Linked DNA regions of Arabidopsis thaliana. The protein of the gene in region 2 interacts with the protein of the main gene of each other region in a pairwise test. Each region holds a gene or a part of one and is shown on either strand. Other genes may lie near its edges.

Evidence for each region.
Region 1: the proteins of CRK19 (region 2) and AT2G22180 interact in a protein complementation assay, tested with the Arabidopsis thaliana proteins (one large-scale study listed by BioGRID).
Region 3: the proteins of CRK19 (region 2) and AT1G31720 interact in a protein complementation assay, tested with the Arabidopsis thaliana proteins (one large-scale study listed by BioGRID).

Annotation. Positions count from the first base shown.
Region 1 is NC_003071.7:9,422,918-9,433,397, reverse strand, and holds AT2G22180 (hydroxyproline-rich glycoprotein family protein), read right to left. Parts: upstream 4,656-10,480; 5' UTR 4,430-4,655; coding exon 3,554-4,429; 3' UTR 3,257-3,553; downstream 1-3,256. Other genes in the region: PLAT2 (Lipase/lipooxygenase, PLAT/LH2 family protein), read left to right, coding at 5,656-5,730, 5,912-6,388; AT2G22160 (Cysteine proteinases superfamily protein), read left to right, coding at 7,938-8,255; AT2G22155 (ECA1 gametogenesis family protein), read right to left, coding at 9,224-9,529.
Region 2 is NC_003075.7:12,166,941-12,179,258, reverse strand, and holds CRK19 (cysteine-rich RLK (RECEPTOR-like protein kinase) 19), read right to left. Parts: upstream 8,243-12,318; 5' UTR 8,127-8,242; coding exon 7,361-8,126; intron 7,270-7,360; coding exon 7,132-7,269; intron 7,041-7,131; coding exon 6,919-7,040; intron 6,629-6,918; coding exon 6,418-6,628; intron 6,335-6,417; coding exon 6,097-6,334; intron 6,014-6,096; coding exon 5,860-6,013; intron 5,774-5,859; coding exon 5,480-5,773; coding exon of another isoform or gene 5,465-5,479; exon of another isoform or gene 5,319-5,464; coding exon 5,298-5,318; coding exon of another isoform or gene 5,214-5,297; 3' UTR 5,082-5,213; downstream 1-5,081. Other genes in the region: CRK21 (cysteine-rich RLK (RECEPTOR-like protein kinase) 21), read left to right, coding at 1-49, 138-348, 435-672, 765-918, 1,017-1,349; CRK20 (cysteine-rich RLK (RECEPTOR-like protein kinase) 20), read right to left, coding at 1,788-2,105, 2,193-2,346, 2,430-2,667, 2,752-2,962, 3,279-3,406, 3,478-3,657, 3,748-4,519; AT4G23271 (uncharacterized protein), read left to right, coding at 5,214-5,315; CRK18 (cysteine-rich RLK (RECEPTOR-like protein kinase) 18), read left to right, coding at 9,204-10,041, 10,156-10,281, 10,389-10,489, 10,575-10,785, 10,860-11,097, 11,189-11,342, 11,420-11,731; EMB1290 (cysteine-rich receptor-like protein kinase 17), read left to right, coding at 12,233-12,318.
Region 3 is NC_003070.9:11,349,603-11,359,811, reverse strand, and holds AT1G31720 (chitin synthase, putative (DUF1218)), read right to left. Parts: upstream 3,711-10,209; 5' UTR 3,644-3,710; coding exon 3,518-3,643; intron 3,441-3,517; coding exon 3,220-3,440; intron 3,090-3,219; coding exon 2,852-3,089; 3' UTR 2,731-2,851; downstream 1-2,730. Other genes in the region: AT1G31710 (Copper amine oxidase family protein), read right to left, coding at 4,473-4,680, 4,802-5,349, 5,939-6,052, 6,145-6,529, 9,167-9,957. UniProt on the Arabidopsis thaliana protein: Together with MWL2, contributes to secondary cell wall biology, specifically lignin biosynthesis.

The DNA.
Region 1 (10,480 bases), on a different chromosome or scaffold from region 2:
TGCTGATCTTATTTATGATATGTTCATAAATTATTATCTAAATATTTTGTAATTTTGTAGTAATTAAATGCTATCAAATATCTCTGTGGTTTAATGATATTAAATATTTTGGAAGTTTTATTTTAGTAACTAATCGTGTAGTTAATGTGGAGAGATTTAAGGAAGATTGTTAAATGTCACATATTTAATTCAAAGATTTTTTTCTAATTATCAAAAACAAACATTAAAATCCAGTGGCAGCCATTGTAAATAAGTCTCAACTACAAGATTTATTTCACAAAATGGCTGCAAAAATGTATATATAGATGTAAAAATTTATAAATCATATGTTATTCAATCATAGATTTTAAAAAATCAAACGAAATTCAGTGTTATCGAACTAATAATTTAAAAATCTACTTTAAAATGTACTCTTATTGAAAACAATTTGTGGATTTGATTCTTATTAATTTTGAAAGATTTTAATAAAGATTTAAAAATATACCTTAAAATGCGATGTTACTGCATACAAAAACTTAATAACTTTTTCTGCATATACTATGATTTTAATTTAGAAAAACCAAATATATATTACTTAATTAATATAAAGTGTGTGTTCATCATCCTATATCCGCTAAAATATTTAAAAATAAATAATCACTTAAAAATGAATTGAGAAATAATGTATTTTTGTACAATTGATTAAGGGAATTGGGAGAGCCAACATTGACTAATTGGCAAATTCAAAATAGTTAAGAACCAAGGGAGTATCACGCCAGGGCGGCTGGTACACATATGCCTCGTAGGTCTTGCTATCACCATCGTCTCCATTCACTGACATCAATAATTAACAATGTAACTTGAGTGCTGTTGTTCTCTTTGTTCTGCTTGGCCATGGTGAACTTGTCAATAACATCAAATGGAAGGATCCTTAATGTATTCAATGAGAAACCAATCACCTAAGAGCAACCTTAATGGTAGACTCTTAATTTTATCTCTTAACTATTTTATGAATTGTATTATTGAAAAAATTATAGCTAAGAGTTTTTGTAATGGTTTGAAGTTCTTAAACCTTCTTTTATCTCTTAGCTAAGGACTTTTTCTAAACTATTCACATATTATTTTGATTATATATTATACCTAAGATTTATAGTAAGAGACTTGCAATAAGGATGGTCTAATGTCTCTTCCGTTCTTTATTTTTCTATATTTGTTTATATATATAGAGAGAGAAGATTCAAGTAAATCAGACGGTTCTAACAAAACTTGATTTGACTCAATTATCTAGTGCCATAGAAAGCCTAAAACTATATGTAATTTTAAATGTATTGACTCAGTAAATGAATGTATATGTTGATCTGTGAGATGTTCCAAACTACTTGGTAACATGGGGATGCATGTGACTTAGATGCCCAAATTATAGGGAGCAAAAACATTGATCACCAATCCCTTCACTTGAATAATAATTTTCTGTGACATGTCTAAAAGGTGGACTAAAAACAAAAATCTTTTGGCAAACTCTAAATGTCTTTTGATTGGATAGTCAACTTTTTTAGACACCAAAATTTAAAGTAACAAAAAAGGAAATTTTCTTTTGTATCGGAACTTTCGAATGTAGTGGTGTGAAGGAAAAGAGAGAAACACAAATAAGAGTGAGGCCTAGGCGTGCGTTCCAACCAACCGACCATGTGGAATTATATGATAAAAGAATGTTTGTATTTTACATCAAGATTGCAAATGTTTAAATTTTAAAGCATTAAATAGAGTTGGATACTGCGCTCATCCCAAAATGTGTGAAATTCAATATTAGCTAGTTAGTTTAGAATGATATAGTCTCTTGCAAAACATCATACATAAAATAGTATTTAATTTGATTTGTTTGGTACGCTCACAAAAAAAAATAGAATAAATGAATATAGTGTCTTGCAAAACATCATACATCAAATAGTTCTTTGATATCCTAACTATTATTACTGGTTTCTATACAATTTTATATATCCAACCTTTACCCGAAATGAAGAATTCATTTTATAATAAACTATAAAATTTGTCTTTTTATATTCTTGCTAGAAGATAACAATATTGTTGTCATAATTAGGACTGTGAAAATGGTCCAAAGGTGCCCTTAATAAATAATTGGACCTATTTGTTTCACTTTCTAGTGGAATATCTTTATACACAATTATTGTTTCTCCACTGTGGTTTCGCGAAAATGACCACTCAACCTTTTCTTGGTAGATGGTAGGGGTATAGAATAAATGATTCTTTATGTATATTCGATTTTTTAAAATAATCAAGTATATTTAAAATAACTAGCGCACAAAAAAAAAAGAACATTGCATTTTGAAATCTGCGGTGAAATATAAAAATATTTTTGTATAAACTTTCATAATTTGTATTTTCTTATTAATACATTCCACTTATTGAACAATAAGATGGTGAGGCCAGATTCTCGCAAAGCATTTCCGTTTATTAACACATTCGCCTCTAAACGGGTAGTTGCATTCGCAGACAAGTACCTCTATGGACTATGGCGAATTCGACGAAGCCAAAGATCATATATTTTTATGAGTCCTTTCTCCTTCAAAACGTGGCCTTAAGTTGGTGGTCCTCTACTAAGCTCGCATCTCACTCCTGATTGGATGCATATGCAACCCCACCTCGTCAATGGCACTATCAAAATTCTCAGCTTCTATCTCTTATGTTTGTTGTGAGCGATAGTGTAATGACTATATTCAATTTTTACCGTACGAAACAGTAAACCGTCAGCTCTAGTGATCGACAAAATAACAGATCGGGTCTCCTCGCACCTATATTTTAATATGACTTGTCTTCACGACCTCATTAGATGTTGGCTCGAAGGAAGAAGTACTGATCAAGATTGTTTCTTTTCAACTTCCATTCTTCTAAAAGTCTATTTGTTTCTTTTCAATCTTCATTCTTTTAAAAGTCTATCTTTTCTTTCAAACTTTTGAAATTCTCTATTAATTAAAATATAAATATCTTTGTTGAAGCTAAATTTTACATTCCAACAGAAAAAGAGAAAGTTAAACTAATAGAAATGTACAGACGGCACTTATTCCCAAAATGTAAGTTACATTTCTATAATAAAACTAACAACACTGAGAAATGAGAATGATCTTATCAAAAAGAGAATGATAAAAAAAAAAAGAAAAAAAAAAGAGGGAATGATCCCATCAAGTTTTCGGAGTATTGCTTGTACACACTTGGTCTAGGAAAAATCTTAGGAGGTGAAATGTTACTTTTGCATTTAGGCCCAATTATATCTTCTGTTTTTAAGAAGTTCTGACTAGTCTGTTTATTTGTAATCTGGGCTAAACTAAATTTATTTGTAAAAGCAAAGGTACATTTAAAAAAAAAAAAAGACGCTCACTCTATTGTGTTCTTCTTGTTCACGTTTTCTTTTGTCGCTCAACAATATAGAGTAAAAACAAAGACATTAGGGAAAAAAAATGAACAATTGAACATTACATAGAAAGTATGAATTAATTAAGCACATTGTTAACTCTAACGACACAATCATGTTATATATAAAATATATATAGAGCGAGTGTCAGTTCTTGAACTCACTCTCACAATTCTCCGACACAATCTCAACCTTCTTCGCATCTAATAGTCCCTTAACCTTAACATCACAAGTCACCACCACTTCCTTGTTCCGTTTGACCGGCCCTGCTTCATACTCAGCCTTCAGCTCCATATTCAGCATCAGAACAACCGGTTGCTTCGATCCACGAGGTTGTACAACTGCGTTCTTGGTCGACCCATTAAGCTTCACATTGACCTTGTCGGATCCAGATGCGGCCTGGGACAACCCCGGAAATTTCCCGCTCCCCAGGCTCTTATTCTTGTACGTTAAGGAAACGACCCCGTTCTTTTCCATCATGTAGCGTACTCCCATGTTAGACGTTGGATTCTCGGCTCTTAATGTGACCTCAAAATTACTAGGATTTACGGTCAATCTCTCGACCGCGAAAACAGGAAGAGTGGGGTTGAAAGCGAAATGGAGGATGAGAATGATTGCACCGAGTAAGAATCCGAAAATGACCAAGATAATGAAGAACCACAAAAGACGTTTAGAACACCCTTTCTTTTTGTTTTTCTCCGGGTTCTTGCTGCGTTTCTCGACGTATTTTGCATGTTCCGGAGGAGGGGTCCAATAGACTTGATCTCTCGGGACTTGGACAACGTACGTCTCTAACTCAGGGATTGAATCCGGAGGAGGAAGAGGCGGAGAAGATGTCGTTGGGAGTGGAGACAGATTAAGAGAATGATTACGCCAATGGTGTGAACCGTGCGATGGAGGATCTAAAGATGGCAATGCGGGGAGGCTAGAGGTTGGACGGTGCCAAACGGACGGAGGATCATCGGGTTTGTCATCGTCAGAGTCAGGGGCGGTGGCGGAAGGAGGACGCCGTGGCCCCTCCATCGGAGAAAGGTGGGAGTTACGAGATGTGTGGTGGAGATTGGTCTACAGAGAAGACGAAAGAGAGAGAATTAAGAGAGGATGCGAAAATTAGGGTTTGCATGGGAAAAGTAAGTGGTTGTTGTTGCATGACTCAAACTTTTGGTTGGTTTTGAGAAGATTTTGCTATTTAGAGTTAGCCAGCTCACCTTAAATTTCCCTTTTTCTGTTATTTAGAAAACTATATTACAGAACTCATATAATATAGTATTATGGCATTTGATGATGATCAACGAAGTTGTTACTTTTTGTTTACAAGATATCGATTTTCTAACATAAATTATATATGCATATAAGACATACATGAGTAAAATCTTAAAAAGGTTAGCACATATTGGTAATGTTTATCATGAACGAGTCTTATTTTATTTTGTACGTTTCGAACTAAAACCATTTTTGGGTGGTATTTCTGGACCAAATTTTCATTAAAGTGTTTTTTATTTCAATTCTCTTGCAACTTCTGTTTCTTTAGAAAGCGAAAAATGCATATATACGAATATACGTTGGGATTGACATGAACGGAATGTATGTATTTACACACATTAATCCGCAGCAACCGGCCATTCAAAATTATGTTTGTGGGCCTTGTTGCTGCTTCGCTGACAATACTATCCAAAATTTATTTCATTTTTCTTTCTTTGAAAAACACACAATCACTTAATTTTCATTTATAAATCAAACATATGTACATGAAAATATCAAGGAAATTAAAGGAAATCTTACCTTCATATGGTCGAAAGTTTTCTTTCAAAAAGCAAAAACAAAAATTAATGTTTCTCTAATTCTTCCCCGGCCCCAATCCACGTGAAACATGTTATGTTGCGAGCATTACACTGGAAACTGTTACATTACATTCTAATTGGCGAAAAATGAAGTGCATTTGTATTGTATCTCACGAAGATTTGCGTTTGTGACAAAAAAAAATATGCAATTTTTTTCGAAATCTGACAACCCATGCCGACCTGTCCGCCGAGTTAACGACGTGCTTATAGGATCCTTAAGTATTTTTATTCTTATTTCTTACTCATTCCAACGGACCAAAAACGACCACGTCATCTTCATACGCAACTCCCAAAACAGACGATAATTAAATCATTGAAATCTAAACTCTCATATACTTTAGCATTTTCAACATTTCTATTAATATTTCCATAGACTAGATCTCTCTTTCTTATACATCCATATCACCGATGATGCCTCGCCGTGACGTCCTCTTCCTCTCACTCCTCCTCGTCATCGCCACCGTCTCCGCTGTCGCATTAGCCGTAAGTTTTCCAAATCTGACTTGCTTCCTCTCATATATGATTTTGTCTAGAACTAGACACACACATTAACCAGATTTGAATATGTATATAATGACACAACATCAATGACATTAGTTTAAACTATTAGACTACAAACTTCTGTTTCTTCCCATTTAAAAAAATGACTTTCTTGATTTCACAGGACGATGAAGCAGATTGTGTCTACACATTCTTCCTTAGAACCGGATCAACCTTCAAAGCCGGTACAGATTCGATCATAAGCGCTAGAGTCTACGACAAATACGGAGACTACATCGGGATCCGAAACCTAGAAGCATGGGGTGGTTTAATGGGACCAGGTTACAACTACTACGAGAGGGGTAATCTCGACATTTTCAGTGGGAAAGCACCATGTCTTCCGAGCCCAGTCTGTTCATTAAATCTGACCTCTGACGGCTCCGGTGACCACCACGGTTGGTATGTTAACTACGTGGAAGTCACGACAGCCGGAGTTCATGCAAAGTGCTCGTACCAAAGCTTTGATGTTGAGCAATGGCTTGCGTCCGATACATCGCCGTATGAGCTCAGTGCTGTTCGGAATAACTGTCCAGTTTCGCTTAGGGAAAGTGTCGGTCGGGTCGGGTCTGAGATCCGGAAGACTCTCTCTTGGATCGTGTGAGAGTAGTGAATGAAATGTCAAATGTGTATGTGTGTGTGTAACTTGGAGAGTTGTTCTTTGTTGTCTTGTGAACGTGTGATGGCAATAATGAAAATGATTCGATCGAATAAAAGTTCCGTTCTTTGTTGTTTGTGAGATTTTTATCAAACATTATTAAGTTTTTCGTGTGATGAAATTAAAAGATAATTACTGATCATATTAAAAAGAAAAAAAGATAATTACTGGTTGATATAGTTTCTTTGTTTCGTTTTATTTTCACAAATAAACGTTCAAAGCTACAACCTTATGATTAATCAAAACTTTGCCAAATAGTATAAAAGATGGGCCCTTTTCACATTTTTCGATGTAATTTTAAACATTTAATACAGAGTGGATCTTCACAATTTTAATCATTTTTGTGCATGTTCAAAAAGTCAACAAGAAACTTACAATTTTGTAAGAAACATCAACGACATTAATTGGTATTGGCCTAAACCTCCTAATTAAGTGACATTTGGTTGAAACGGAACATTTCTTTGGGTCATACTAATAACTGAAAACCATTATCAAATGAATGACTTTAAAATTCCTCCTAAGGCACCATATAAATCTCACTATGCTCCTAATCGTCTTTTAAATCTATAAAAGAAGGTGTGAGCAATAAGTTCCTCAATGAAAATTGAAAAAGATCATCCCTGCACACATAATCTATAGAACCACAAAGCAATATACAAGCTAGACATAAAATAAATAGACAATATGCCTTTAAAAGATAATTACTGATTGTATAATATTTATTTACAAAGACTTCGTTAAGGTCAAAATATTTATGTCTAATCTCCATCCCCCTAGAACATGTTTTTTTCTTTCTTAATAATAGTAACTGTCTAAAAAGAAAGAATTTATGATTCTCATAAAAATTAGAAGAAACAGATTAAAATGGTTTTATTCAATCATATTAATTGACAGAAAATTAAATGTCATATAAACTACAATGAAGAAAATGATAAAGTAGTGAACCTAGTGATAATCCTTTAAACTAACGATCACATGATTCGATGCAACAAAGTAATAACAGACTTATTTGAATTGCCGCGTAAGACTTTGAAGATATTGCTTTCAAAGACGAGAAAACATTGTTTCATCATAAAAATCTTCAAATACATCGAAACAGTTAATGATCGCATGTTCATCTCATTTCTCATACCTCTTTGGACTTAACTGGTACGTAAAAAGATGATAGGCTAATAATTTCGTTGAGACAAAAACTAATTTAAGGTTAAAGCATTAACTATATAATTGTCTATTTTTGTGTTAACGATCACATGCACACATTCAGTGCAATTAAGAAAAAAGTTTGATCCACCAAGTATATATGAATGTGTTCGTTTGTCTACTTAACTCTCGCACTAAAAACAATCAAAAAGAAGAAATCAAACAAAATGACTAAGCATATCTTAATTATTCTTATGTTTACTCTTCTCATTCTAGAGCTAAAAGCTCATGGAACAAATACAATGAGACAAAGCTAAAAAGTGATGAGGGTCTGGAAAAGTTGTACAAGAGGTGGATGGGCCACTATCTTGTGCCCATCCACCAAACAGAAAGTAGTTTCGATGTATTTAAAAAAAATGCAGAATATATTGTCAAAACCAACAAGGAGAGAAAACCGTACAAGCTCAAGCTCAACAAGTTTGCAAACTTGACCGACGTCGAGTTTGTCAACGCTCACACATGTTTTGATATGAGTGATCACAAGAAAATACTCGACTCCAAACCGTTCTTCTACGAGAATATGACTCAAGCACCAGATTCCTTGGATTGGAGAGAGAAAGGAGCCGTCACCAATGTCAAAGATCAAGGACCAACGTGTAGTAAGAAGTCCTAAGAAACGTTTTAATAATGATATTATTTAAAAATATCAAGTAAAGTAAGACTATCTTTAAATGTTCTAAAGTAAATTATTAAAAAGTTTATTGCAGTATATAAAATATTCAAATTATAACTCGTTACTCAGTCGGAGTTTTTGTTAAATTTATTTTTGTTTAAAACAAATATATTACTCAAGTCTGAATTTTTGACCCATTACAAGTTTTCTATCATAGATTGAACAATTTCGATTCGTTTTTCAAAATTCAAATAATGACATATGCAGAAAAAAATCTAGCTTTTCTTTATATGAAGATTTATTTGTTTCACAAAAATAGAATCATGTAAAGATGAAAAGAAAAATATATGATTAATAATAAATTAATATGCTAAGTTAGATATCAAAATCTTATATGTTTATTTTGATTGGTCATTTTCTTAATTAATAATGTATTTTCCTTTTTAGAATTTAAATAAATTAATTAAATTAATATTTACCTTATTTATCCTTAGTATTTTCTTTCCACAGATGCCATTATTTGAACTTTAGTACAACAAAATCACCAAAATAAAAAAAAAAACTAAGAAATTTTGATGCACATATAAATAAGTATTTTGACTTATATTCAAATTGTGTGGAAACAATGATAATGATATCCTTCCTCCGATAAAACTAATCTTTTTTGTATGTGTGGGAAGAAGAATAGAGAAAAACTATAAATAAGGTTAGAGTTAATGCCTTATAAAGTGAGAATTAGGGTTTAGTTTTATTTTCGTTAGTTTGGATTTAGGAAGAGACTTAGTGGGCTTTACAATTAATTCAGTTTTGAATTATTAATGATTTATTTTATTTGTTATTTTAAATAGATGACATGTCAACTTTTAATTGGTTATTAGAGAAGAGGTGAATGTAAGAATTGTTCATATTTTATTATCATAGATGGTCTTTTATTCTCACTTATTAAACATAACGAATCCTCAAATGCCTCAATGCAAAGAGTATTTAATAGTACAAATACCCTTTAATACAAAACGAATGTAAGGCATGCTTGGGAAAATTATTGGCCAACACATATCAGAAACTATACTAACGGTTTCACAACATTCTTTCTTGATCCCATGGACATGTCCATGTAAAATTCCTTTTATGCTTTCGAGACATCCTCTTGATGTGCTTTTAAACGCCTTAAAACACCCCTCCGGATCCGTTGGTTGAGCACTCGAAGGAGACCAAGTCATTGCAAAAACAAAAACCATAAGAAAAATTATAATCTTCATCGTCTTAGATTCCATTTTTTCTATAATTAAATTAAAAAACCCAAAAAATTGTTTAGTTTTTTTTTTGTAATATGTTAATGATGGTGGAGCTTTTTATACTTTGTTTTGGTAGAATGACTAGAGATATGAGTTTATTCAAATTGGTAGATTTTCGTTTGCTCATTTCACCTAGCAGATATGATAATAGAGTTCCATATATCTTGGTATATATGCCATTCAAATTCATGATCATTTCCTTTATAAAAGATAGCCTTTTCAACAATGTCACTTAATTTTGTGTACGTGGACATATAATACACTCACTACAAAATACATTTACGTATCATATATATATTACCAAAGTAATTAAGCATTTCGCCAACTAGAGAGTGCCACCTGAACGTTTTTGTAAATTTTGTGCCAAATAAATTAGAGAATTACTAATGATGACTAGATTTATTTATATATAATCCTAGATATACAATATCACCTCATCAACTATTTTTCATAAAATGTTAATAATTAATCAATTTTTCAGAACTTCAAAACAAGAAAAACATTTTAATTTGAAGATGATCAACATAAGAATTGTTAAATTTAAGTTTAGACTGCAAAAAAATTTACATTTAAATCTTATTTGTTCCATGCACATCTTTTAGTTATATACGTAATGAGAACTTAAAACTAGTTGTTATGTTACAAAAAAATACTCTTTGATATTTAAGTTTAATGTTTCTTCAGGTGTAATTTTCTATATTGACGACGTGTTGGATCTATACAAACAAAACCCATCTCGAATTACAACTAAACAAGGAGGATCCACCATAGATGTTAGATGTCAGTCACGGAAGAAGAAAATTAGTCGGCAAACGTGGATCAAACCTGCTGGCTAATTAAGGAAAGCAAACCATGATCTTCATCAAAGAAAATCTTTTATATATATATATATATATATATAATTGTTGCTTTATTCAATCACTTAGGCAA
Region 2 (12,318 bases):
TCATAAGAGTAACAAGCTTGGTCATGGTGGATTTGGTGCAGTTTACAAGGCATGATGTTCTTAAATTTTCTCAACTACTTGATTGTATTATAAACTCAGATGCTAATTCTGATAGTAAAGGTCATGCGAATGAGCAGGGTATGTTTCCGAATGGAACAGAAGTTGCTGCCAAGAGACTATCTAAACCATCAGATCAAGGTGAGCCAGAGTTCAAGAACGAGGTGCTTCTTGTAGCAAGACTTCAGCATAAAAATCTTGTTGGACTTCTCGGGTTTTCGGTTGAAGGAGAAGAGAAGATACTAGTTTACGAGTTTGTTCCCAACAAAAGTCTCGATCATTTCCTTTTTGGTGAGAGCCAAATGATATATAGACTTATGTTCTCTGAAATCTCAGTTCTTGATCTCATAGCATAACGGGTGATATGTAATGTGCAGACCCGATAAAAAGGGTTCAACTGGATTGGCCAAGACGACACAACATTATCGAGGGAATCACTCGAGGAATTCTCTATCTTCATCAAGATTCACGGCTCACAATCATACACCGTGACCTCAAAGCCAGCAACATTCTCTTAGATGCCGAGATGAATCCAAAAATAGCTGATTTTGGTCTGGCTAGGAATTTCAGAGTTAATCAAACCGAAGCAAATACAGGAAGAGTAGTTGGCACATTGTAAGTAATTGGCATTTAGATATAATATGAAACTTGATGGCCCTTTGAGAGTAGGTGATAAAACTAAAATTGATATGCGGTGTATTTTGCAGCGGTTACATGCCACCTGAGTATGTGGCAAATGGACAGTTCTCAACGAAATCTGATGTGTATAGCTTTGGAGTATTAATTCTGGAGATTATTGGTGGCAAGAAGAATAGTAGCTTCCATCAGATAGATGGTTCAGTAAGCAACTTGGTCACACATGTAAGTTTTAAAACGCCAATGCAATCACAAATATTTTTTACTCCTTTTAACTGTGATCATGACTTTGAACATTAGTTTCTTGACAAATGAATAAATAGGTTTGGAGGCTTAGGAATAATGGATCGTTGTTGGAACTTGTAGATCCAGCCATTGGGGAGAATTATGATAAAGATGAAGTCATTAGATGCATTCACATTGGGTTATTATGCGTTCAAGAAAATCCTGACGATCGTCCAAGCATGTCCACAATATTTCGAATGCTAACTAATGTTTCAATTACTCTGCCTGTGCCTCAACCACCTGGATTTTTCTTCAGGGAAAGATCCGAGCCGAACCCATTAGCCGAGAGATTACTGCCTGGTCCGTCTACTAGCATGTCTTTTACTTGTTCGGTAGATGATGCATCGATCACGAGTGTTAGACCTCGTTAAAATTGGGCTAATGATTAACATGAATATTTTTCATAAGTCTAAAAATATGTTATTCTCTCTCTTTCAAAATACATTGAATTTGGTATTAGTTACTTTTATTTATTTAAGTTTGGTGTTAACTTTAGTACTTTAAGCCAGAATTTTCTTTGAAAATCTAAACGACCTTATTTTGAGAATTCTTTAAGAAAGTAAGTCTTGAAACAATTCGAACAAGCTTAAGCTTAGTTTCAGCTTCTTATTCTTCCTTAGTAATTTCTCTTGATCCCGTGGCAAGTAGATTTATTCCTTTATTGTACGTATTGATGATGCCTCGATCACTTAGATGAGTCCTTGTTAAAGGGAACCAAACTTCAAATCCGACTATCATTTTCTTATTTTCTGGACAAAAAGTCTAAACTCATATATTACAGATGTTTAAAATTTTGAATAGTTTTGTCTTTAACGAGGAGCTACACTAGTAATGGAAGCTTCGTCGATTGAAAAGAGGTCAGATGTATCCATAGATGGACATGCTCTTTCTGCTTGTTCCTGCTTGCTTCGTAAGAAAAACCCAGGTGGTCTAGGCACGGCGAGAGCGATCGAGCTAGTAGTGAGCATTTGGACGATTGCAGACATAGTTGGACGATCATTAGCATCTTCTTGAACACATAGTAAAGCGATATGGATGCACCTAGTAATTTCGCTTGTTTGATAATTATCTCCAAATGACGGATCCACAAGCTCTGATGGCGACCCATTGCTCCATAGTCTCCAAGTCTGTTCAACATTTTAATAACTTAGGCTTTGGTCATTGTTTGAATAAAGCAAAAAAACATTAGAAGTTTTAAAGCTTTATATACTCACATATGTAACCAAGTTGCTAATGCTACCATCCATTTGATCGAGGCTACTGTTCTTCATGCCGCTTACAATCTCAAGAACCAAGACCCCAAAACTATACACATCTGATTTCATGGAGAACTTGCCGTACATAGCATACTCGGGAGCCATATAACCACTGCCACAATACTAAAAATGTTGAGTCCATAGAAGCATAGTACAGTCTATAGAGAGGCAATACATTTTAAGAGAAAAACTTACTAGGTTCCCACAACTCTTCTCGTATTGGCTTCTGTTTGGTCCATCCCAAAAATCCTCGCCATTCCAAAATCTGCAACTTTTGGGTTCATATCAGCGTCCAAGAGGATGTTGCCCGCTTTGAGGTCCCGGTGTATAATTGTGAGTCGTGAATCTTGATGAAGATAAAGAATTCCTCTAGCAATTCCTCCAATGATCTTGTACCGTCTTGACCAGTCTAGCTGCCCTTGCATCGTAGGGTCTGCACATGCGTTTTTAAAATGTTAAAAACAAAGAATGGCATGCAATTTGAAGAATCTTAGGCTAAGTATCGAATTTAACAGACCAAAAAGAAAGTAATCGAGGCTTTTGTTTGGTACAAACTCGTAGACAAGTATCTTTTCTTCTCCTTCCAAACAATAACCAAGCAGTTTTACTAAATTTCTATGTTGGAGCTTTGCAACAACAACAACTTCGTTTTCAAACTCTTTTTCACCTTGTCCTGAATTCTTCGATAGTCTCTTCACCGCAACTTGTACTCCACTAGGAAATGTACCCTACACGAGTAATTTATTTTAGATAACCATAAGTATGAGATTAATCATACAAATGAAGAAGTACTCAAATGCAATTATGTAAAAATTTAGAAATGAATAATAATAATTATTAATTAAGGACTAGAGTTTGTTTTGTTCCGCAACTCTTTAAAATTGGATTTGAAAACAGGGGAAAAACAGAGTACTTTGGAAACAGGGGAAAAACATGTTAGAACGTTTCCAACATTCAAAACTCACTACTTTATCTTAGTGTATATTATTCAATTTCTACTTGTAGATAAATAGCTACAGTAATAGCCTTGTGCAATAATAATACCTTGTAAACTTCGCCGAAACCACCTTGACCAAGCTTGTTAATCGGCAAAAAGATATCCGTTGCTGCCACAATTGCCTTAAAATCAAACTGAAGTGAGCCTGCAGTCGTAATATCATCCCCATCTGTAGCTACAACTTAAACAGTTTAATTCATTATAAGAAGAATACATCAGAGACTATTCATTATAAGAGTATTCTACTTTCAGCAGGTGGTTCCGTGACTTCCGTCTCTTTTCTCTTTACTTTAAACAACGGTATCGCTCCAATCGTCTTTTTTCTCTTAGCGCGGCGGACACTAAAAAAAGCTACGAATAGAAGAAAAAGGACAGTGATTGGAACAACAACAGCAATAACTATGACAGAGGAGTTTCCGCCTTTTCCTGTATCATAATAACAACTTTGTGTTAGCAAAATTCTTATATGAAAGTTGTGTTGAAAATATGTAGTCAAAGGAAAGCGACTGTTCAGACCAGGTCGTGGTGATGAATCTTGAGGTGTACCAACGTTGAATTCGTTGTAAAACTCGTAATTATCGTATCTTGACGTACAGCTCGGCAAAAAAGTTCTTCCCCCAATTTTGTCATAGGTTACTTGATTGATGCTTTGTTGTAGGCAGTCTAAGCAGTCTTGTTCCGTAAGGTCAGGAGTGCACTGAACCATTCCGTACAAACTCTGTAATGCATTTAAATCAAATTTTGTCACAGCGAATCTTTTGATACTCCTCGCGGCTTCAATGGCAGCTAAGTTCATGGGGTTCAAGACCAAATCTCTGAACCGATCTTGTTTGACTGATATAGGATTCCTAGCGTTCTGCATGAACACTCCTCCATCGGTGTTTAGAGTGGATAGTATATTCCGGTTAGAGTATCTGAGCATACACTGCTCGTAATAGAACACGGCTTCTCTCTCATTTGGACACCGACTTAACGATTCGTTAACAGACAAGGCGATGCAGCTACGGCAAACTTCAGGTGAGACGTTTCCGCGGCAGAGGAAAAGTCCGGTGACCATGTCGGGGGCTTGTCCCGCAGTGGCGTTTTGGAATCCGGTGGAGTAAGAGGCGTTACGAGAAGAGAGAGAGGACAAAAGGGTTTTGAGATTGGTGGAGTAAGTGCTGTTACTTGAGTAAGTTGTCGTGATAGAACAATTATGATATAGGTAAAAAGGATTTTGAGCAGAAGCTGTGAAGCTAGTGATGAATGAGAAAAGGAAAAGGAAAATGAAACAGATCAGAGAAGACATGCTTCCTTTTCCTTGATTTGGAGTTTTAGATCATGAATCTCTGTATGTATATTAACGCGAAATTGAGGATGGTTCATACTCTTCTGACGGCTATAAGTCAATCAAAGAAAGTCATGGTAAACGCCGGTTTTATTTAATTTTAGTTTGTAATGTCAAAACAATAGCTAGTTCTTTCAAACAAAGAGAGAAGTTTAAGTTACTATTTATAGCCTTACCAAAAGAAAAGAGTTAACGATTTCTGTATAACGATAAATTATTTGTCAGTAATTTGCTCTTTTTAAAAAAACTTTAATTCCTCGTCAAAACTCATTGATTTACACATTTCCAAGTTTAATTTTCTCTCTTTTTCTCTCTAAATTTGCTAATCCTATATACATATTTTTTTCGTGGAGTTGTCATATTTATCATTTATGAGAGCATGAAAAATCAGCGTGAGGAGAGTACTTCAAAGTTCAAAAATAGTCTTGTCTTTACGTTATAATTGAAGCTTCTCCCAAAGAAATTCTTACAGAACTGAAAAATAGCATTTTAAGTTTACAACATAAAATTTAACTCAATGTGCTTCTTATTTGTGGAGAAAAATCAAATCTAGCTTGATCATTATTGATGTACGAAATCAAACAAGTAACAAACGAGATCTCAAGGGAAGTTTAAAGAATCACTATTTTATAGATGGGTGTAGATCGCTTCTTGGATGAGTAGTTTGAGGACGACCGTCAAGATTCTTAATCGTCCTCCAGTGACTTTTCTAGCTCATATTCCTTGTTCAGTTGTTGTTCTATTGTTGATGCTTTGACCACTGAAATGAATACTTGTTAATTAAAGAATTTATAAAGAAAATAAACAATAAAACCAGTTTAACTTACATGAATTTTTGTTCACTGTCGATCTTAATAGTCTAAAATCATATATCACAAATGTTTAGATTAACGAATAGTTTTGTCTTCAACGAGGAGTTACACGAGTAATGGAAGCTTCGTCGACTGAACAATGCGTAGATGAATCAATAGATGGACCTGCTTGTTCCTGCTTGCTTCGGAAGAAAAATCCAGGTGGTCTAGGCTCAGCGAGAGCGATCAAGCTAGTAGTGAGCATTTGAACTATCGATGACATGGTTGGACGATCTTCAGCATCTTCCTGAACACATAGTAAAGCGATATGGATGCACCTAGTAATTTCGCTTGTTTGATAATTATCTCCAAATGACGGATCTACAAGCTCTGATGGCGACCCATTGCTCCATAGTCTCCAAGTCTATTGAACATTTTAATAATTTAGACTTTGGTCACGTTTTTAAATAAAGCAAAAAGAAATTAGAAGTTTTAAGGCTTTATACTCACATATGTAACCAAGTTGCCAACACTTTCATCCATTTGATAGAGACTACTATTCTTCATGCCGCTTATAATCTCAAGTACTAAGACGCCAAAACTGTACACATCTGATTTCATGGAGAATTGGCCGTACATCGCATACTCGGGAGACATGTATCCACTGCCATAATTCTTATTTTTTTTAGTTGATTGAAACGTATTACGGTCTATTGATGAAAAAAAAGTGGCAAGAGCAATACTTACTAAGTTCCAACTACTCTTCTTGTCATGGCTTCTGTTTGGTCCATCCCAAATATTCTCGCCATTCCAAAATCTGCAATTTTAGGATTCATATCATCATCCAAGAGGATGTTCCCTGCTTTGAGGTCTCGATGTATAATTGTGAGTCGTGAATCTTGATGAAGATAAAGAATTCCTCTAGCAATTCCTCCTATGATCTTGTACCTTCTTGTCCAGTCTAGCTTCATTTTCATCGTAGAGTCTGTACAGCGTATTTCAAATGTTAAGAACAAAGAATGGCATACAATTTGAAGATATCTTGGCTACGTACTAAATTTAACTGACCAAAGAGGAAGTGATCAAGGCTCTTGTTGGGCACAAACTCGTAGACAAGTATTTTTTCTTCTCCTTCCAAACAATAACCAAGCAGCTTTACCAAATTTCTATGTTGGAGCTTTGCAACAACAACAACTTCGTTTTCAAACTCTTTTTCACCTTGTCCTGATGTCTTCGATAGTCTCTTCACCGCAACTTGTAGTCCACTACTCAATGTACCCTACACGAGTAATTTATTTTAAGATAACCATAAGTATATAGGAATTGTCGGTAAGATTAATCATGAAAATGAAGTACTCAAAATGCAAGTATACAAGTAGAAGTTAGTATTTGTTACAAATATAGGATGATAATTAACGACTAGAGTTTCTTTGTTCCGCAACAACCTTTGCAAGTACAAGGTTGCTGCACTCATCCCATACATCTCAACTTTCGAAGTAATGTGTGTGAGATTTGATTTGGAAACAGGGGAAAAACAGAGTACATTGCTCTGTTCAATGGTAATAATACCTTGTAAACTTCGCCGAAACCACCTTGACCTAGCTTGTTAATTGGCAAAAAGCAATTCGTTGCTGCCTCAATTGCCTTAAAATCAAACTGAAGTGATCCTGCAGTCGTAATATCATTCCCATCTGGAAAAGAAAACTTCAACAGCTGAATTAAGTAAGAGCACAACAGACTATTCATTCTATGAGGAGATATGTTTATCACTGGTGTGCTTACCTTCAGCTACTGGTTCCTTCTCATTAAGCGTCCTCTTATTTTTAGCCCTGACACTAAAAACAGCTACTAATAGAAGAAAAAGTACAGTGATTGGAACAACAACTGCAATAATTATGACAGAGGAGTTTCCACCTTTTCCTGTATCAACAACAGCAAGAATTTTTTAAGCAAAATTCTTGTATGAAACTTGTGTTGAAATATGTAGTCAAAGGAAAGGGACTGTTCATACCAGGACGTGGTGATGAATCTTGAGGTGTTCCAACATTAGATTCGTTGTAAAACGCGTAATTATCGTATCTTGAAGCACAGCTCGGCAGAAGAATCCTTCCCCCAATTTTGTCATAGGTTACTTGATTGATGCCTATTTTCAGACAGTCTAAGCAGTCTTGTTCCCTAAGATCAGGAGTGCACCGAACCATTCCGTACAAACTCTGGGATGCATTTAAATCAATTTTTCTCACAGCCCATTTTTTGAAACTCCTGGCGGCTTCAACGGCGGCTAAGTTCATGGGGGTCAAGACCAAATCTCTGAACTGATCTTGTTTGACTGATAGAGGATTCCTAGCGCTCTGCATGAACATTCCTCCATCGGTGTTTAGAGTGGCTACTATATTCCTGTTAGAGTATCTGAGCAGACACTGCTCGTAATAGAACACGCCTTCTTTATCTTTTGGACACCGAGTCAACGTTTCGTTTACGGCAAAGGTGACGCAGCTACGGCAAACTTCCGACGAGACGTCGACGCGGCAGAGGAAAAGTCCGGTGACCCTGTCGGGGGCCTGTCCCGCCGTGGCGGTTTGGAATCCGGTGGAGTAAGAAGAAGCGTTAAGGGAAGAGAGAGAGGACAAAAGGGTTTTGAGATTGGTGGAGTAAGTGCTGTTACTTGAGAAAGTCGTCGTGACTGAACAATTATGATATAGGTAGAAAGTATTTTGAGCAGAAGCTGTGATGGATGAGAAAAGGAAAAGGAAGATGAAAGAGATCAGAGAAGACATGGTTCCTTTTCCTCGATCTGGGTTTCAGATCATGTAGCTCTCAATTTTTGAAACTAGAACTATATTTTTCCCTTTTTTCTATGAGACCAACAAGTCTTAGTAAACGCCGGTTTTATTTTATTTTATTTTGTAATGTCAAACTTGTATCGCGCAAAATAATAACTATTATTAAAAAAAGACAAAGAGAGAGTAGTTACGATTTCTAAATTACAATAAACTATTTGTCAGGAATTAAAGGAAAAAAAACAGCCTAACTTAGTTGGATATGATAAGATATTATTTGTCAGAAAAGAATCTTTTCTCTCTCTCTCTCAATTTTCTAATACAAGATATTATTTTTATATTTTTATTTTTTCGTGGACATCAGAAATTCAGAATTATGATAGCATGAAAAATCAGCGTGAGGAGAGTACCGCAAATATTGTCTTAAATTGTATTTACGCTGTAATTTAAGCTTCTTAAAAAAAAAAAAGTTTTAAACCATTTTCAACTCTATTTTAAAAGAATTGTATTCTAATGATCATCTCCAAAATAAAGTTTTTTCAAAAATAAAGGAAAATATAGAAGTAACCATCGAAGATGTCTTTACGTAACCGAAAAATAGCATTTTACACTTTACATCACAAAATTAAAGTCACTATGCTTCTTATTTGTGGAGAAAACAAATCGAATCTAGCTTGATCATTTTTGCGTGTTTTGAGATGACAATTTTTTCTTTCTGCGTGTTTTGACTTTTTAGATATGAGTCATTAAATGCATTCACATCCTCCAAGCATGTCTACTAGCAGGTCTTTTCCTTGTTCTGTACGTAGATGATGCATCGATCACGGTTTTTAGCTCTCGTTGAAATTGAGGCTAATGATTAACATGTATATTCTTTCATAAGCCCCAAAACCTAATATCAAAGATTGACTCACATAGTCCAAGTCTAGCACAAAAATTTCAAAGTTGTCAATTTCTTATTAATGTGCATGGTTATTCAAATGGAAATTTTAAACTGATGATTAAATTTCTAAGAACCACAAATAGTCAAATACTAACTACACCACCCACACATTATCTCAAGAAAAAAGAAAAATGGCAACGAAGAGTTGTGAATTAGTCCTCTGTTTCTTCGTCTTTTTCGTCATAAGCTTCAGTGCAATTTCTGTTTCTGCACAAACTTGTGACAATACTACTGGGACTTTCATACCCAATAGTCCTTATGATAAGAACCGCCGACTCATCCTCTCTACTCTAGCTTCTAACGTCACGGCTCAGGAGGGCTACTTCATCGGTTCGATTGGGATTGCTCCTGACCAAGTCTTTGCCACCGGGATGTGCGCTCCAGGTTCTGAGCGTGATGTTTGCTCTCTCTGTATCAGGTCCACATCAGAGAGTTTACTACAAAGCTGTCTGGACCAGGCAGATGCTTTCTTCTGGTCAGGTGAAGAAACCCTTTGCCTTGTTCGCTACGCTAACCGCCCCTTCTCTGGATTGCTCGTCATGGATCCACTAGGAGCGATATTCAACACAGGAGAACTCAATACGAATCAGACTGTGTTTGATATCGAGTGGAATAATTTAACTTCTAGTATGATCGCCGGAATAACTTCTTCTTCATCAGGGGGGAACAATTCGTCTAAGTACTACTCAGACGATATAGCTCTTGTGCCGGATTTTAAGAACATATCAGCGTTGATGCAATGCACACCAGACGTTTCGTCAGAGGATTGTAACACTTGCTTACGGCAAAACGTTGTCGACTATGATAATTGTTGCCGTGGGCACCAAGGCGGCGTTATGTCAAGGCCAAACTGCTTTTTCCGATGGGAAGTGTATCCCTTCTCTGGTGCTATTGATCAGATTAATTTACCAAAGTCACCGCCGCCTTCAGTTACATCCCCGTCTCCTATAGCCAACATAACCAAGAATGGAAAGTCCTTGTTGGAACATTTTCAGAAAATTGTCTTGTTTTGTTTCTGTTTGTTTTTTTTTCTTTTTTTGGTTTTTGTGTATTTATGCTTTTGATGAGTTGTGTTTTGTGCAGATAGTAGAATATCAGGAGGAAAAATCGCAGCAATAGTTGTTGTTACTGTTGTTACAATAATATTGGTTGTTTTAGGCTTTGTTATTTCCAATAGAAGAAAGCAAAAGCAAGAAATGGATCTTCCAAGTGAGTTTTCTTTGTTTGTTTGTTAAAACCTTGATTGTTTTCGGTCATGAGACCTTATACTTTGAAGTGGTACTTTTTCACGAGCTTATTTATGGTTTCAAATGAAGCGGAATCTGTTCAATTTGATTTAAAGACAATTGAATCGGCGACAAGCAACTTTTCCGAACGTAACAAGCTTGGTAAAGGTGGATTCGGTGAAGTTTACAAGGTAATATATAGGATCTTTGTTGTCCATCTAGTTTGCTTCTTTTGTGGAGAATAGGCTATGTGCTTAATTTGTTAGTATTTTCAAGGGTATGCTCATGAATGGCACTGAAATTGCGGTGAAGAGATTGTCGAAAACATCAGGACAAGGTGAAGTAGAGTTCAAGAACGAGGTTGTTGTTGTTGCAAAGCTTCAACACATAAATCTTGTTAGACTTCTCGGGTTTTCGCTACAAGGAGAAGAGAAGTTACTCGTCTATGAGTTTGTTTCAAACAAAAGCCTCGATTATTTCCTCTTTGGTATGTAATATTTAACTAAAAACAGTTTCCTCTTTGGTATGTACGTTTTAACTCATACATGTATAAGTATGCAGATCCTACGAAGAGAAATCAGTTGGACTGGACAATGCGACGCAATATCATCGGTGGCATTACTCGAGGGATTTTATATCTTCATCAAGATTCGCGGCTGAAGATCATACATCGTGACCTCAAAGCGAGTAACATTCTCTTAGATGCGGATATGAATCCAAAAATCGCTGATTTCGGAATGGCAAGGATCTTTGGAGTGGACCAAACTGTTGCCAATACAGGAAGAGTGGTTGGAACCTTGTAAGTATCATCTTAAAATGGACTTTGAGATTTTTGATCATTAGTTTAAGAGACCTTTTTTGACTTCCAGTTTATAACCTCTATTTTTCAGTGGTTACATGTCTCCTGAGTATGTGACACATGGCCAATTCTCAATGAAATCAGACGTCTATAGTTTTGGAGTATTGATTCTTGAGATCATTAGTGGCAAAAAGAATAGCAGCTTCTACCAAATGGATGGCTTAGTTAACAATTTAGTCACATATGTGAGTCCCAAACTTTATTTGACTCTCTTAAAAGTTAAAACACTGATCATAGTTCTGAATGTGTATATATTCTACAGGTCTGGAAACTTTGGGAGAACAAATCATTGCATGAGCTCTTAGATCCCTTTATCAACCAAGATTTCACAAGCGAGGAAGTCATTAGATACATTCATATTGGACTGTTATGTGTTCAAGAAAATCCTGCAGATCGACCAACAATGTCTACGATTCACCAAATGCTCACAAACAGCTCAATCACTCTGCCTGTGCCTCTGCCTCCTGGATTTTTCTTTAGGAACGGACCAGGATCGAACCCGGGTCAGTCGAACAGCAAGTCTTTTGCTTGTTCTGTAGATGAAGCAACAATCACGGACGTTAATCCTCGTTGAAAATTCAGCATTTGGTTTTTTCTTGTTTCCACAAACGTCTATCATTTATTTATTGTCCGTTTATGAAAAAGTTTACAAAGGGTCATTTTTTCAGGTTGAAGATTCAAATTTGAAGTTTCTATATTAGTCAAGCATGTCTACAATAGCTCGAGTGCTGACTATTATAATTTATAGTAATTGTAGGACCGATCATTAGTGTTAGTCCTCGTTGAAAGTTAGGCCAATCTAAACCCTTTATCAAAAAAGAAAAATAAGCTTTGGCCAATGTTGACTTTATATTCTTTTATAAGGGTAAAACCGTAATAATAAATATTGACTTAGAGAATCCAACTACGTCTTCCCCTTAAAATCCAAAGTAGTCAATGTCTGGTTAATGAGGATGGGTCATTCCGTCGTTCGAGTAGAAAATTCAGAAGTTATGGGCCATATTAATGATAAGAACCACTAGTAGTAACCAACAACAACACCAGTCACACATTTTTCTAAAGAAACAAAAAGAAAATGGCAAAGACGAGTTGTGAAATAATCCTCTGTTTCTTCTTCTTCATTTTAAGCTTCAGGGTCATTTCTGTTTCTGCACAACAAAC
Region 3 (10,209 bases), on a different chromosome or scaffold from region 2:
TCTCCGATGAGAAATCGGAAATTGGACCATGCGAAATAAGATTTGTTCTGATGATGATTGGTGCCGTGAACGGTGGCGGCGATGAATCTGATCCGGTGGAGTTCTCTCAGATCTGAGACTGAGAGAGTGAAATTGGAGATGAGAAAAACGTGAAGGAGAGAAGAGATTTTGAAGTAACGAGAAAAGAGTTTTGTGTTTTGTTTTGCTTCTACCTGATACACCAGGCGGTCCCCCAATAGCAAAAGCAAAACCAACACGCGTGTAACAGTAAAATTTAGAGGTGGTTTAACCGGAATCCGGTTTTTTATTCGTTTGAGTTTTCACGGTAAATTTTCGATTCGGTTTGGCATAAATAATAGAAAATAGTTTGGTTCGGTTCCACAATGTTGAAATTTTGAATTCGGTTTGAAATTGTTTTAAAAAATTACTAAGATTGAAACCATTTTTTTATTATTATTCTTTTAGTTTATGTTATTTACTTATCTTGGACTATATATTATTGGAGATCAGGCCAGAACCATTTTGTTGTTTACAAAAATGAAAGATGTTCATTAACAAAAACTATTGAAAAAATAATTACAAATTACAGTAAGACCTGATGCCAAACTTCTAATATGAACTAGAATAATATAATCATTTGCTTCCTAAAACTTTATCACTTTTAGTCTTGGACCAGTTTTATATAAACCATTAACCTACATATTTAATCATTCAATTTAATTTAGATGATATATATTTGTATATTTTTGGAACACAACCTACTATTTTTTTGCACTAGTTAAACTAATTCATACACAATTTTTAAACAAAAATAAATGATGGATCCATTCAAAGTCGAAAGTATATTTTTTTTCCATCGCACTTAAATGTTTGGACCAGCTATGTATAAAACCCCTCCAAAGCCACATATCGATTTTTAACTTAGGGGTATACAAATTCAAAAGCAAATGATCCTCTCACTGGTTATTGGCATGAGGAGGGTGACACCCCAAAAAGGAGAGATATTGGCTCCATTATGGACATTGTCTCATATGAACTAAAGGCTGATAGTTCCAATTTTGTCTATCTAACTGTAGTAGCGACTGAGAAGAGCCTTAGTAAATTTTCTCCCTAATTTCAGGTTTTAGTGTATTTCCAGAATTTGTGTTAGTATTTTTAAGATCTAATGTTGTTCTTTTGATTAAAAAGATGGTAACCAAACCGCTGATATTGAGAACCACAATCGATTGAAGAAGTTTATTGAAATCCTTAGAATAAAGGTGGTAGTATTTTGCTAATTGCCAATGATAATGGTTATTGTGATTATCTAGATGAATGCACGCAACAAAACATAACTAATATTCTTATTTACCGGGAGGTTGGCTTGGATGCCCTAGAAACTCATATGATATTCCCATTTTGCTTTAGAATGCCCTAAAACCTCAGTTGATATGTTCATGAATTCTTGTATGTATTGTATTGTATAGATAGTGTAATTTTACAACCTACCAATCCATTAAAGTGATCTTTAATAGTTACTTAAAAGCTTGAATCCATTTATTGTATATGTTCTCTTTTTGCATCACTGATTGTTCTTGGTTTTTTTAGTTTTAGCTACTAGTTCAGTGTGAAATGGTGATTCAAATTGTTGAATTAGGTTGCTTTATAGATTCAAAGAATATTTAAACTGCTTGATTTGATAAGTCTCTCTGCAAATGCATAGACTTTTTCATTGCATGACTCTTATGTATGTGTTATTTTAGGTGACTCTTGACATTATCAAGACATTATATGGAGACCAATAGTTTGGGCTCATTAACATTTTTGCACTCTTTTGTGGTCCATTTCGGGAATGTACATGAAAACTTTAGACCCGATCGAATTTTGGCATGTTAACAAAAGAAAAAAGAAAACAAAACTCTCGTTTGATCCATCTACGGGTAAATATCATGTAGTTTGGCAAGTTTTATCGTAGAATCATTTTATTTTGTGAAATACTTATCTCTAATAGTTGGTTCGATCTCGGTATGTTTAAGGTTCCTTTGCTCATTTTCTCTCATCAACTTTCGGGTAATTAATCACCAATGCATAATGAATGACAATAATTATTGAATGTATCGTGTGAGCAAACCAAATCGCTGAAATGCATAATGAATGACTGGGTGTACTATATCTAGGTTGCGTATGGCTCAAGAAACATTACTTGCTTGATTAAATATTGTGGCTTTGTTATCATATACTGGTTGTACTATAGCTTTTTTTAATGGACAAACTGGTTAATGTACTATAGCTAGGTTGCTTATAGCTTGAACATGTTTCTACATTACGCTGAAATGGATTTGGCCTAACTAACGATGTTGTTTCTTAAACACGAAGAGTTTGGCGTGACGTCGTTTTTACCTTTAATCAGTTTTCTGAGAATTACTTTGATGAACAATCTCCATCAACTAGCAACACTATCACCATCAATCTCTCTTCATCTCACTATCCTCGCCAAACACGTTTCAGCAGGCCTCAAAACTGAAAACGCTGTTTATTTCTAAACGCGGATTTTCAACTTTAGAACCTATTTGATTATTTAAAAAAAACCCATCATTTTCAAAACAAAAAATGATAAAATAGAATTTGCAATTATACACTTTGATATACGGATTAAAATGTTAAATGCAAACGGTATCATGCCATTATAAATTGCGTTCGTATTTGTATATAATAATAACAGCATATAATGAACTAATTGCAGATCTATATAGTCTTCTATATATTTTTAATTATATGATTCTTTGACTTGAATATATCCATATGATTGTAAAGATTTTGCTATTTTGCATGCATTTCCATTTGATAAAATTTCTACTTAATTTTCAAACTACTACACATTTTGAGTGTGACGTTTGTCATGATTCTCGACCTGTAATGATGGTTTGACTTTAAACGCAAACGCTCCGAGAATAGCGGCCATCGTCGTAACGGAGAGAAAGCCAGACGCTGCGAACACACCGTCTTTCACAAGGTAACACTCACGGTTTAGCCACCCTTTGCCGTATATCTGCTCTCTATTCATGCTTGCACCAACGCTTATCAACGTAACCGCAACGGCAAAATTAACCCTGCAATAAATTCATGTATTATATAATTATGTACTTGCAAATTTAATCCGGTGACAACACTATAGATCACCAAATTACAAGCTATTTCAAACTTATTTGTTTTTTGTTAGTAAACTCATCTTCTTCTTACCAAGAAAACAACAGAAGAATTATACAAAATATAGTCGTTCTGGTTTTGTCCGTTTTCGTGAAACCTCTACAGATCACAACGTTTCCGACGATCTGAGCAACGGAAACACAGACCAAAGCAGCAATTCCTAGCCCGAAAGCACGATTTTCTGGTAAATAACACGATTCTCCATCCCATTTCAGATCTTTCCCCTTTAAGAAAACCTGAGCTCTTAGCAAAGCCTCAACCCCGAATCATGTTATCTTATAGAACGTAAAATGCATAACTTGAGCAGCAAGTCACTTGAAAATTTATTTACCTTAGCCTTTTGAAACTCGGCCGAAAGGCATAGGAAGAACGCCGCGAGACCAAAGAGAAAGATGAACATGAAAAAGAGAAAAGATTTGGGTCGCCCATCCCGGTTATCTTGTTTTTGAATTTCCATTGATTTGTTCTTAAATCCCTTTAGAGGGAAGACGAGATTGCTTGAGACCTACTCCACGATTACAGAGAATAACTATTTGTGTTTGCTTACGTATATATGTTTGTAAAGAGTGGATTTGTTCCTTGTTCTTATGGTTGGGTTGTTGGGTTCTATACTTTGCTTTTGTGTTAATCAAGTATTTGTTTTTCTTTTTCTCTATTTGTGATTATAACCATATCATTTAACACCATATTAATTTGGAAGAAAATAGAAAAATTGTTGCATAATTATTTTTATTCTTTTAAGTAGTGATTAATTATTTATTTTCACCGAAACGGTAAAACTTTATGATGTCGTATTCTCAAAAGAATGAATGCTAATTTGTTTTCCGTAATTAATACAACACGTAACGATTCTTTTTCTATAATAAAAACAATTGTAGTAATATGAAAAATTTGAGTGGAGACTAGAAACAAAAGAATGAACAAATTGAACATAACAATAGAAATTCAAGTTTAGAAATCAAGAATCTCTATAAACTGAAACATGCATAGATGTAAAACATACTTGAAATTTGTGGGGGGGGGGGGGGGGGGGGGGGGGAAGTATTCACTTTTAGTTGTTGAATTTCGTTAACTAGAATCTCACTTGTTTTTTTATAACCACATTATGAATGCACTCGAGTTTTAATCACGCGAAAATAGAGAAAACGAAAAATTAATTGATCAACAAAGACATGATGATTATACAAACAAAACCAACTTATTTAAAACCACATCATTATTTCTCGAATCGTTACAGTCCATCATCAAGTAGAACAAATTCATCAATGATATGATTAAGCTGTTTATTAATCGTTTTTAGGAGTGCACTTTCGAGCGGTGGTAACTTTGACGGGTTTGGTCTTGAGGACAGGGTTTCGCTCGAAAAAGTTGGTCGGTCGGAGCTCAAAGCCACCGGATAAAGTAGGCATCGTCGGGTAATCTTCCTGGCTAGGAACATGGTGGAAACCGACGGTGTACCACATCACTATATCTTCCTTCTCTATTTTTCTATTCCTGTCATATACTTATATGTTAATTCTACAAATCTCCAACTTATAGCATTGATAATACGATTAATTATTCTAATCATGCAACGGACGAAATATAGTCAAATTTTATCAGAAATATAAAGTACCTTTGAGACCACACTGCCAACGTATCGTCGCCTTGGCTCCTGTCAGCGTACAAACCACCTGCCCAAACCTCTGACCTGTTATACGGCGTGATCCACACGTTATAGTTGGTGAATGCAGCTCGAATCTGCGGGAAATCATCTTGGGCCAGGAGTGGGCCTGCAGCGGATCCATGAAGTAAACGGTATCCAACCTCATTGCCATGCTTCGTCTTTCGGTTAGGGTTAACCACAACTAACTCCTCCGCCTTCAAACCTAGTTTCACCCGAGCCTCTGCCTCGGTCTTGGCCGTCTTTGGCTTCGTTGTCCAATAGGTTTTTCTCGGTGTGTTAACAGATTTTGGAGACCTCGTGGTCACAAGTTCGTTACGAACAAAGGAATTTTCGGTACCGTCGATGTCAAGATGAAGACGGAATGTCACGAAATGGTCGTGGTTAACACCGACGGTGTTGTCGGCGACAATTGTCCCGTGTATGTCTTCCCCTAGTTTGATTTCGGATGTGTGAATATATTCTACCGGTTTCACTTCTAAAACACCGGTTAAGCCGACCTGCACATATTAAATTGGTATCATTAGATTTAGAACCGATCGAACAAAAACTAAATTGACAATAATTTATCTTTTTATCAATATTGATAATTTCTTCTCATCTATATAAAACAAACGAAAACCGAATCGAATAAACCAACTTTAGTAAAAATATACACTAAAACATAATTTAACTTTATTCAAAATTGTATGTAATTTGATTTTTAAAAAAATATATAAATCAAACCAACCGAAATTTATCAAAACCGAGCCAAACCAAATTTGATTCTAGTTGGTTTAGATAATTTAACATCGAATGAACCCAAAAAAAAAAATATATATATATATGAAACAGCCAAATCAAATTGAATGATTCAAATGGCCAGACCAATATCTAATTAACAAAGCAAAGTTGAGAATATGGTTGTCCAACCAAGATTTGATTTTCTGTCATTAGTCCTTATCATTAATCTGAATTCTTTTTGTCATCGTTTAATCATGATTCATGATTCACGATTTCACGTGATTCATGTTGCTGCTTATATCATATTATTAAAAATGAAAATGTATATACTATATTAAAGACAAAGTTGAAAAGAGACGGTTTTACCCCCATTTTGATGGAACCACTAGGCTTGAACTCATAATCAACTATGTAGTCATAGTTTCCCACGGTCGTCACAATCCGGGCTACAAGACTTACGTCCGGTCTAACCTCCGTAATCTGCATCATTATATATGCAAATACAAATCATGTATTTTATATAAGTGATTGTTCATAAGTCATAACATAACAACAACTATATGTTTTCTTACTTCTAAGTTTGGAATTTCAGCTTCTGTATGTCGCCACATGATATCTCCAGCATATTTTTCAAAAATGCACATAACTTTTGGGATTTTTGCGGGAGTTCCATCTTGACCAGCAAAAATACCATCCATAAAAACTGCACCCGCTGGACAATCAGTGTACGGTTGAAGAGATACGGCGCATTGACCGCAGCCAAAATCGCCACAATCAAGATAAGTAATGAAATACCAATCATCACTTGGGTCCATGTAAGGTATGAACATTTCCGATAAGTGACCTTTATATAGGACTTGCCGGTATTTGTTCACGTCCGTGTCGAAAAGGGATGCGAGAGATATGACGATGCCAGCTCGAACATCGAACGATATGTGAAATTCCCAATTTGCCCACCTACTCATCACCATATGTATGAAATTAGTAAGTGGTATATACATGTTTACTTTCCAAAAATTCAGATATAATAGGTATTAATTTGCATGCATGTTTCTTTAGCAATATATATACAATGAACGCATTGTAGATTTTACCGAGACAAAACGATTCCAAAGATAAGATTTTTTATAAAACGTTAAAATGCCATTATTGGAAAATACAAAAATAGGACCCCATACCCATCATAGATTGAAATAGTGTCTGTTTAATTAATTTTAGTGATAAAATAAGTCTTATATTATAAAACCGTGAAAGTATTACGAAAACCTTTGAGTGTGAATAAATGAATAAACAAGAATATGATGCCAAATTTTGAAACCTAAAGTATCTGTGTAGGGATCTGAGGAATAATATTTTGTATCCACGAAAATATTAGAACCACACATATGATACATATATATTTCAAAATAGAAAAGACTGGGACAGACTTATTGTGCATGGGTCCTCGACACACCGAACTTCAAGAATATGATGGTTATAATGAAAGTAGCAAAAGCAAACCAACAGTTGTTCTGTTTTTGTATTTTTAAAGATGAAGGATTAACGGAATAAGCATACACATGAAAAATGAGAGACTAGTAGATTACTTATAATAATAGTGGCAAACTGGGTTAAAATTTTGTTGGTGAAGCAATATTGGTGGCTTTGCTTTTGCTTACTAGTAAACACTACTGATATTAGGGGTAGGCAAAACAAGATTTGAGATTTAGTTTTTAAAATATTTATGGTAGGTGGAGTTTCAAATCTGGATAATTTAATTTTAAGATTAAGATATCTAGATTTAGTTCGGATTTAATTTTAATTATATATTTTAGAAAAACTATATGTTTAAGAGTTATCTTATTATATAAAGTATGGTTTTCAAATTTGCTAACTCATAGGATCGTGCCATGTGTCAAGTCAAACGATCAGATGTTTACATGTGTCATTTAAAATTTAACTTTTTTATTTTCTAAAAAGAATAGAAAATCTTAAAAAGTAAACAAATTTACATATACTAATTTATATGTCTATATATTTATAAACAATTAACATTTATTCAATAAAAGGAAAATAACAAATTTGTCTTTAACTCATGTAATCATAAGTGAAAATAGAACATTTTGAGAAAAATAGCTTAGCTTATAGGATTTAACTTTTCAATTATTTTCATTTATTAATTTTAACTCATTTAATATTTGCATGATGTTAAAATTAACTTACAAGATTACGGCATATATAGAAATATATTTTCAACAATGTTTGGTTTCTAAATATTTTTGTGGATTTCTGTTTTTCTATTAATTATTAGCCCTAGGCGTTTGGGTATTCGGGTCGGGTATTTCGGGTTTGGGTTTTCGAGTTTAGAAGTTTAGGATCCGTTCGGGTAATTTAAGATTTCGGGTCGGGTTCGGTTTGGGTTCGGGTTCGAGTTTATTTATATATTGAAATATCAAATTGTGTGTGCAAATCTATTAAATTACTTGAAAATTTCAAAAACTCCCAAAACAACACGAGTAGTTTTGCTCGAATATATCTAAAAATACACAAAAATAACTAAAATATCAAAAAAATCCTAATATTTTCTATGTATAAGTATATATTAGTTATACTTATACTTATATTTGAGATATGTTTGGATACCTATTCGGGTTCGGGTTCGAGTTTTTCGGGTTTTCAAGTTTAGACCCATTCGAATATTTGAAAATTTCGGATACACCCGCCTAAATAGGCGGGCCTTATCTAGTTATAAGTACAGTGATACTTTAAACTATCACCAAACATAAACTTTATTTCAAAAGTTGAGAGTATATTAAATTAATTAATCCAGATCCAGGTAATTGTTTCTCCTAATTCTTGAAATTTAAGATATCCATCCCATATGTGTCCTGGATAGACTAAACTCAAGAAATGTATAGGCTGAATAAAAGTGGGTTGGTGAGGACGACTTTTGAGATTTCTTTCACTTGAGAGAATATTTTCGTAAAACAGCAAAAAAGAAAATATATCAGGTTTTGAGAACTATTTACACCGACACAGTTTATAGATTTAATTATCAGATTTAGCAAAATTTGATCTACATATATCAGGCGTATGGAGCTAATAGAAAATAGAGAGACAGAGAGACCTATATTCGGCGGTTTAGAATATTCTCATAATATGAGAGATATGTTTAGTTTCCATTATCATTATCTTTTCCAATTCTTTAGTTCTATCTCTCTCTATATAAGCATGTTAAACCTTGATTCATGATTCAATAAGAAATCCATAGCAAATCATTACTTTAGCAACCTATAATTGTTAATCATTTTACCTCACAAAGACACAAACCACTGTTACTACTATTCGGCCATTTGCACTGACAAACTTTTAAAATATAATTTCTATATATAGCATGCATAATTGCTGTCTGCAAAATCTGATCTATAATGCGTAAGGAGCCAAAGGAAAAAATGCCATTTGGCTATTTGCCACTGATAAACTTTAAAAATATAATTTCCATATATAGCATGCATAGCATGTTGTCTGCAAAATCTGATCTATAATTCGTATGGAGCCAAAGGAAGAGATATAGCCATAAATATTAGTCATTTTTTGGGTTTGTTAATCATTTACCTCACGATGTGTCCATCGACCTTGAAGCCCGGACCATCCGGCTGCAAAAGGACGGCGTTATGAAGCGTCGGTCCAAAGGGTGGGTTAAGCTTCGAGATACGGTACTCCGTTCCGTTAGCTATGGGCATAGTAACCACTGACCTGTCCTTAAACTCCGATACCTTCATCTCATCAAGATTAACGATTATCGTCATTCCTTCAATAGGTCTAAGATACATATTAACGGTGCCGTCAAGATAAAACGGCATCAATCTAATAACTCGCTCCGCCTCGGCCTTAGTCTCACCGTACCATCCAATCGTTGACGTCGTGAACACGATCTCCGAAACGTTTAAGCCACGTTTCGCGACCGAGTCAATAAACGGCTTGAACTTGACAACAAGCTCGGTGGATGCTTCTTGCTCGTCGTTTGAGAGCATAGGGTAACCATTTCCTACGTGAATTTTGTCCGAGACGATGGCACGAGAGGAAAAGTCAAGGACTATCTCTCTGGTCTTTCCGTTGTCTCGAGCAATGACGAACGCTTGGCGTGGTGGTGGTTTGATGGTATGATTCGGTGATGAGTACCAAGACAAGACTAGAGACTTGTTGGGTTCGTTGAGACCAACGTATTGGAAAGTGAACTTATGATTCGGACCAACGGGGTACGACTTGTTGATGATGGTTCGGACGAGTTTGAGTTCGGTCTCGGTTAAGGGATCAAATGGGTGACGCGGTGGAGTAAAGCTTGAGGATGAGACTACGATAACGAAAGAGAAAAGGATGAGAATGGTGAAGTGAAGTGGAGCCATATTGTTCTTTGTGAGGTATTATTGTTTGCTTTAATGGATTTGGTTTATGTTTAACTTCAAATTTTTATAGGCAAAAAAATGCCTTGATGGTATTAAATTAATATATATTCTTTTTGCACGTGAGAAATAGACGTTTAAGTAGAAATCAAAGAAGCGACCTCTATTAAACCATTCGACGAAAAGAATAATTAGGAAACTAATATTTATATTTCCTTTGTTCTACAAAGATTGATTTTCTTCTATTTTTCTTTA